2 linked regions of the Lonchura striata genome follow. The protein of the gene in region 1 purifies or fractionates together with the protein of each later gene. This does not show direct contact. Links are inferred from orthologs where the notes say so. Each region holds a gene or a part of one and is shown on either strand. Other genes may lie near its edges.

Region 1 (3,907 bases):
TACGAGGGGTCCGAGGGGCTGTGCGAGGCACCAAAGCATGTGAGAGCTCTGGGGGTGCGTGTGAGGGACCCAGGGGGTGTGTGTGTGACGGATCAGGCGGTGTCTGAGGAGAACCGAGATCTGAGGAGATCAGGGGGTGCACTTGAGTCTGGGGGTGTGTGTGAGGGACTCTGAGGGGAACTGAGAGGATCTGGGGGTGTGCACGGGAGGCCCTCGGTGCGTGAGGGGCTCCAGGGGTGTGTGAGGGGATCCGGGGTGGGTATGGGAGCTCCGGGGCTGTGTGAGGGGCTCCGGGGCCGTGTGAGGGGAACCGGGATGGGTATGGGCGCTCCGGGACTGTGTGAGGGGCTCCAGGGGTGTGTGAGGGGAACCGGGGCTATGTGAGGGGCTCCAGGGGTGTGTGAGGGGCTCCGGGGCTGTGTGAGGGGAACCGGGGTGGGTATAGGAGCTCCGGGGCTGTGTGAAGGGCTCCGGGGCTGTGTGAGGGGCTCCGGGGCTGTGTGAGGGGCTCCGGGGCTGTGTATGGGCGCTCCGGGGCTGTGTGAGGGGCTCCGGGGTGGGCATGGGCGCTCCGGGGCTGTGTGAGGGGCTCCGGGGCTGTGTGAGGGGCTCCGGGGCTGTGTGAGGGGCTCCGGGGCTGTGTGAGGGGCTCCGGGGCTGTGTGAGGGGCTCCGGGGCTGTGTGAGGGGCTCCGGGGCTGTGTGAGGGGATCTGGGGCTGTGTGAGGGGAACCGGGGCTGTGTGAGGGGCTCCAGGGGTGTGTATAGGAGCTCCGGGGCTGTGTGAGGGGACCCGGGATGGGTATGGGAGCTCCGGGGCTGTGTGAGGGGCTCCGGGGCTGTGTGAGGGGCTCCGGGGTGGGTATGGGCGCTCCGGGGCTGTGTGAGGGGAACCGGGGTGGGTATGGGAGCTCCGGGGCTGTGTGTGAAGCTCCGGGGCTGTGTGAGGGGCTCCGGGGCTGTGTGAGGGGCTCCGGGGCTGTGTGTGAAGCTCCGGGGCTGTGTGTGAGGGGCTCCGGGGCTGTGTGAGGGGCTCCGGGGCTGTGTGTGAAGCTCCGGGGTTGTGTGAGGGGCTCCGGGGCTGTGTGAGGGGCTCCGGGGCTCTGCGCGAAGCTCCGGGGTGTGTATGGGCGCTCCGGGGCTGTGCGCGAAGCTCCGGGGGTGCCCCAGGGACCCCGAGGGCTCCCGGGGGCTGCCGAGGGGTCCCGGCTCCGCGAGGCACCGCGCGGCCCCGAGCGCCCCGCCGCTCCTCTCGCGAGACGTGGCGGCGGCCGGCGGGGCCGTGCCGGGCGGGATCGCGGCGCGCCCCCCGCCCCTCCCAGCGCCGCCGCGGGGCGGATGCGGCGGGGCCGCCATAGTGCGGGCGGGAGGAGCCGCCGCCGCCCGGCCGGGGACGCGCTCCCGCCGCCCCCTCCGCCGCAGCCGGGAGCGGGCGGAGCCTGCGCGGCGCCGCCGGTTTTTTCCCCGCCGCATCCCTGCCGCCGCGCCAGCCGAGCAAGCGGCCGCGCTCCCGCCTGGGCTGAGCGGGGTCGGGCGGAGGGACCGGAGGCAGCAGCGGCGCCGTCACCTGGCGCTGCGGCGGGGGCGGGGCGCGGCGCTGTGTCTGCGGCAGCCCCGGGGCGCCGCTCGGCCGCTTAAAGCAGCGGAGCCGCCGGCTGGGAGGGGCGTTCGGAGCAGCGGCGGCCGCGGAGCGAGGGGAAGGCATGGAGGGCAAGGAGCTGGCGGCGGGGTCCACGGGGGATGAGGGCTCCAGGGATGCGCTGGGCAAGCCGCTGGGTCCCACGCCGAGCCAGAGCCGCTTCCAGGTGGACCTGGTGGCCGAGGGGCCCCGCAAGTCGTGCGGGGACATCGGCGCGGCGGGCAAGGGAGGCGAGGAAGCCAAGGGCAGGTTTCGGGTGAACTTCGTGGACCCGTCGGCCGGCGGCGAGAGCCCCGGCGAGCCCGGGGGAGGCAGCTCGGAGGGCGGCAACGTGCAGAACGGCGGCGACACGGTGATGAGCGAGGGCAGCCTGCACTCGGGCGGGCACCACCACTACTACTATGACACCCATACCAACACCTACTACCTGCGCACCTTCGGCCACAACACCATGGACGCCGTGCCCCGCATCGACCACTACCGGCACACGGCCGCCGACCTGGGCGAGAAGCTGCTCCGGCCCAGCCTGGCCGAGCTGCACGATGAGCTGGACAAGGTGAGAGCGGCTCCCGGGCTCCCCCGGCGCCGGGGGTGCGGCAGCTCCTCGGAGCGCGTCGGCAGAAAAGCTTAAAAAAAAAAAAAAAACAAACCCAAAACACGAAAGCTCGCCGAGCCTCGAGCAGGCGCATATAGCGCGGGTGCATAGCTTGCGTCTCAGTTCTGTTACATATTTATTTTTTTTTGTCTTTTCCTGACGCAGTGGAATCCATCCCCCCACGAACACGTGCTTTTGGGAGATGGTCCCCCAGTGCCAGAGGTATTTTCCGTAGGGTTGTTTTCCCTGTCACCGAGCTGGGATTCTCTTACAGGTTTTCCACGTCCAAATCGCCTCCAACAGATAGCGTATTGATTCGGGGGCTCGCCATGGGAACTAGTGTGGGGAGGCGAGTGAACACATTTGGTAGAGACGCTAAAAAAATGAAGTAAATAAATAAGGATGCGCTTGCTTTGGTAGCGGCCGGAGGTTTGTCTCTGCGGCTCCGAGGTGGAGCCCGCTGGATCCGATGGGATCTGGATCGGATGCTGCTGGATCTGCACAGGCACAGATCCTGAGCCAGCCTTCCCAGGGCTGCTCCTGTGCCGCGGTCAAGGCTTGAAAAATTTCGGAGCTGTGCGTCTCAGGCTTTTTCTATTTTGGACTAGGAGTCCGTGTGTTATTTGAGACGAGTTGACAGTGAGAGCCTTCTTTGCATTGCAGGCTGGCTTGGCTAGAAGACCAGCTGTAACTGAACGTAGAATTAATTTCCCGGGCTTATTTTTTTTTTTCTTTAACTATCGTCACTAAACTAACTCCAGATAAAGATTAAACTCTTGCAATGCTGTTTTCTCACTGTTTGAAAATTGGTGTATGGCTGTGCTCAGGAGCCAGTGTTTTTAAGTGAGGTCTTTCTGCTGGGTTTAGGGAAATAAATGCATGGGCCACATTCCAAGGAAGTGAATATTTTGTTTCCAGAACTTTTTTTTTTTTTATCACACTTTTCACTGCTTATAGGTGGAGTTCCTTGAGGAAATGTGTATTCTTTCCAGATTTACCTGTTTCACACCATTATTAGGCTTCTCAGTGCATCAGCACTGATGTGTGAGGTTTGGGGTTTTTTTGGGGGAATGGTGGTGATTCTTTGAGTGTGTTTTTGACACTGACTGTGGAACTGTTCCAGTAGAAAGAGCTGGTTGGTGCATTACAAAGATACTTGTTTGTGACATCTGAGATTAGATGACAGATTTTAATTACTAACCATAACTCCAAATTACTCCTGCCTTCCAGGTCCCTTTTTGATGGCCTAAATGATGATCTGTGGTCTGGTTCTAAGATAGCAGTAATTGCCAATTGAGATTTCATACTATGTGTTTGGACTTGGGTAAACTATAAATAACACACATATATGTGTGCTCGTAGTACATTGGTCTTCTGTCCTGCTGCTCCCCCAGATTTCTGATTCCTGGTCCATGATAGGATGACCAGGTGTGTTGGATACTCAGCTTTGTAAGCAGAATGTTTCTCAGATTTCTAAGCTTGGCAGATAGATTTTTCAGTGTGTTAATGTTGCAGCACTGTGGAAAGCTCTTTGATACCATTAAAATATTTCAGTGCAGAATATAGCATATTCTGGACCTACAGCTTCTAAAATTGCAATTTCTTTATTAAGAAGAAATTAATGGCAAGGAATTTTCTTTGTAGTCTGTGGCACAGAGGAGTGGTAGACAACCT
Region 2 (3,907 bases), on another chromosome or scaffold:
TCAAATATTAAACAAGTATCACACTTGCATTTTTAGCATATAGCTTGCCTACCTTACCTTTGCTAGTTTGTCATGCACATGGTTTCTGCTTCTCCTGAAGCAGAGCAAGAGGTACAACTTTCTCTTCCAGTACATTTCAGGTGTGTTTGTGTATGATTGACAATGCTTTTCACTTACGTAGCTGAAATTTTACTGTAATTACCCCCATTCACTTTTGTTCCATACACAGACTAACACAGGCATCCAAAAAGACACACTAGTACTCATCTTTGCAAACAGCTCCATTCCAAAATTTCTGATGCTGTCACATGGTTCCCACTGAATCTTATCACTACTCCCTGATCCTACCCAGGACTACCCTAAGTTCCTTCAGCTTTCAATTATATCTCTTACTTCTTCCTTCAAGAAGAGAGGGTGCATTTTAATTTTGACCTTTTAACATACTTCTAAAATAGTCCCAGAAATGCTGAAATGTTATCAAGACCAATTAAAGTTAACACTCAGCTGCCAGGCAAAGATGGTTTTAACCAGCCCGTGACATCTTTCACTTTTGTGAACTCTGCCACACTACAGTCTTAGAATATAAAATAAATCTTTCACCTAAACCAATGAGTTTATGGTCTCAAAACAGATCTTCACACTACACATTTAATTATCTTTAAAACCTACTGAACATTCCATAGTAACACATGAAGATCTACGAGAAACTTTTCTTACTCTATTTTCAAGATGGCAATGAAAATAAGTCAAAAGGATTCCCACTGTTACAATTTCCTCAGCAGAACAAAGCAAATTAGAAGAGTCTATGGCTCTCACAAAACACCAAACATATTTACTAGCAGTCTTGTCAATGCATCTAAGTTCAGACCTGTAATTTTAAACATACATTTTGCATAGCTTGGTCACTTTTTACCATGAGTAACCACAGCACAGCTACACATCAGCAGGTCATTTAAGCCAGCAGTAGTATTGCAGAGGATGCTCCAGGGACCAACAACAGTGCTGCAACATCAGCAGAATATTGCACCTAAAGTAACAAGCTGCTTCTTCTGAGACACAGACCAGTACTGATAAAAGACAACGGCATAAGCTGTAAACATAGTCTGACTGGATATTAGAATTTCTCTCCCCACACGGACAGGCAAGCAGCAGTACAGCCTGCCTAGTCTCAGTCCTTGGGCTTTTCCAAGACAGTATAGAAAAAAATCTCTAAGCAAGCTGGACCAGCCTCAGGGCTACCTCTGTTGCAAGCAGCAGGTCAGGGGAGAATTCGTGGTGTCAACAATTTGATTTGGGTTGCATAGTGCAACTGTGTCAACTTTTGTACTTCTGTACCAGGGTGTATCGTATACATGCCATTAAGTTAGCAGCATCATTATTCCATTCACTGAAGAACTTAGTTAAGAGGTCAGGATCTTTCAGATTACTGACCTTTTCTTGTACTTTGAAAACAGTCATGCCTTTTCCATGTAACTCTCAGAGTTCTGGATTCTCTAGCAGAAAGGGAGTAAGACAGCTATTCTCACTCCGAAGTCCAAAGCTCCTGCATCCAGTATCAATATACTGTCTTTTCACAGGACCAAATACCAATTTCATCCAGGGATGTGAAAAGCGGAGGATATTTCACACCCCCTTTCTTCCATCTGCAACCATGAGCTGCTTTATTCCCGCTCTCATTCTGCTACATTGGCATCAACTTGACATAACATCCAGCTGTAACTGGAAACGTTGTGTAACTGGAAATGCATGCAAGAATTCTTCCACGATTTTAATTTTTTCCTTTATTGGGTGTGAAAACTGTACCTCCCTCGCTTTACCTTTAGCGTTAAGCACCCTGCGCTGTAGTGGATGCCGAATGCCAAGTTCAGCAGTTCCTCCAGCCACAATGCTGCACTCCCGCAGGCGCCTCGAGATATTCTGCTGCTACAGGGAGCTCGACTAAAACCTTCAAGACCCTCTTTCCCAATCAAAAAATACAGATTTTAGGGACAAACGGCCACGCGGTGTCGTGTCAGCATGCGACTCGAACCTGCTTTTTGGGATACCTCGAAAGGAGAACCAAGGCCGCTGGAGCTCCGCCCGTCGTGCACCCGCGACTCCGCGCTTCTCCCGCCCGGCCTCGGGGAAGGGGCCGAGCTCCCGAGCCCTCCCGCATCCCACCCTCGGGACCAGCCGCCGTCGTGAGGCAAGGGCGAGCCGGGGCCGCCACCGCCCGCCGGGGCCATCGCCCCTCCCCTGGCCGCACGGGATGCACACGCACCTCCCGCGGGGCTGAGCGCCCGCCGCTTCTCCCGGCCCGGTTACCGAGCACGGCGACGCCGCTCCTCCCGCAACGGGCGGTTACCGGCGGTTACCGGCGGCGCTGTCGGGCCCGCGGCGGGCGGAGCCGGGCCCGGCCGCTCGCCCCGGCGCATCCCCGGCCGCGCACGCGCGCGGCGCCCCCGCCGCTCTCGGGAGTGCGGGAGCAGGTGCCGCGGCCCGCGCCGCGCCGCGCCGGCCAATCACGGCACGCACGGCACGGGCGAGCGGAGCGTGCGGGGAAGCGGGAGACGGGCAGCAAGCTCCGCCAATCGGAAGCGCCCGGATTGAGGCCGGACCAATGCGCGGCTGGATCGCGGCTGCCGGCCCGCCCTGCGCGGGGCGCCTCAGCCAATCGCCCGCCGCCATCGGCCGGCCCCGCCCCTCCGCCTTGGCGCCGCTGAGGGGGGTTTGTTGTTATGGCCGCGGGCCGCCGCCCGCCGCCCATCCCCGCCTGCCTCCAGCCAGGGAGCGGCCAGGATAAAGAGTTTTCCAACCCGTAACCTCGAGTTAATGAAACCCTTACTTACAGCTAGACGCTCACCCTGCCGCTTGAACGTACGTGCCGCGAAGCAGAGCGAAATAAAAACATTTTAAATGAGCTACTGTGAAAAACGCCAGTCACTTGTTGTTTATTATTTTTAAAAGTTTAATAATAATAAAATGGTTATAAAAATAGTAATACAGTTAGAGTAATAAAAATTTAGAGTTAGGGCAATTACAAGACAATAGAAAGCAAAGAATTACGGACGTCCGGATATTTTTGGATGCTAAGCTGCTCTGAAAAATGCATATTTTATGATTGGCTTTTCGCAAATGTTACAATGAATATTGTATGTGTAATGTTAGAAAGTTATGCTGTATTAATTCTCTTAAGTAGTGTGTTAAATATACTTTCAGCTTACAACATAATGTTAAAATAGAAACTCTGCGATGTAGGATTTTTTTACTAGCTCAAGGGATAAGATAATCAAGAAACTCTTCGCACAGAGATAACAGCAACAGGACAAAGAGTTACAGGCCCCTTATCAGAAAAGACAAACATTCTTCTACCTTCTCTCTGTCTTCATGGAACCACCAGGATTGAGGGGAAGGAGTTGACAAAAACCAGAAGTGCCCGAGAGCATCCGGACATCCGTAATTCTTTGCTTTTTATTGTCTTGTAATTGTCCTGACTACATTTTTATTACTCTAATTGTATTACTATCTTTATAACTATTTTATTATTATTAAACTTTTAATATTTTAAAAACCAAGTGACTGGTGTTTTTCACCGCTGCCAAAAACATGTCTTGTGAACAAAGGAATAGCCCTTAAAAGCAATAGCCTGTTGAATATTCATGTATCTCATACATGATGCATAAATTCCTTGTAAATTAAGAATTTTTCTGGTTTTTGTCAACTTGTTCCCCTTAATCCTGGTAGTTCCATAAAGATGGAGTGAAGGTGGAAGAATGTTTGTCTTTTCCAATAAGGAGGCTGTAATTATATGCCCTGTCACTGTTATCCCTGTGCGAATAATTTCTTGATTATCTTATCTCTTTTCTTGAGCTAGTAAAAGATATTTTAAATCACAGAGTTTCTATTTTAACATTATGTTGTAACGTAA

The links.
Region 2: the proteins of SLC12A2 (region 1) and CLGN purify together in Homo sapiens (co-immunoprecipitation; 3 studies listed by BioGRID and IntAct, with this or other methods). This does not show direct contact. The link is inferred for Lonchura striata from reciprocal best matches to the Homo sapiens genes SLC12A2 and CLGN.

What each region holds. Positions count from the first base shown.
Region 1 is NC_134642.1:83,897,749-83,901,655, forward strand, and holds the start of SLC12A2 (solute carrier family 12 member 2), read left to right. Parts: upstream 1-1,553; 5' UTR 1,554-1,702; coding exon 1,703-2,194; intron 2,195-3,907. UniProt on the Homo sapiens protein: Cation-chloride cotransporter which mediates the electroneutral transport of chloride, potassium and/or sodium ions across the membrane. Plays a vital role in the regulation of ionic balance and cell volume.
Region 2 is NC_134606.1:65,816,781-65,820,687, reverse strand, and holds the start of CLGN (calmegin), read right to left. Parts: upstream 2,418-3,907; 5' UTR 2,261-2,417; intron 2,130-2,260; exon of another isoform or gene 2,046-2,129; intron 1-2,045. UniProt on the Homo sapiens protein: Functions during spermatogenesis as a chaperone for a range of client proteins that are important for sperm adhesion onto the egg zona pellucida and for subsequent penetration of the zona pellucida.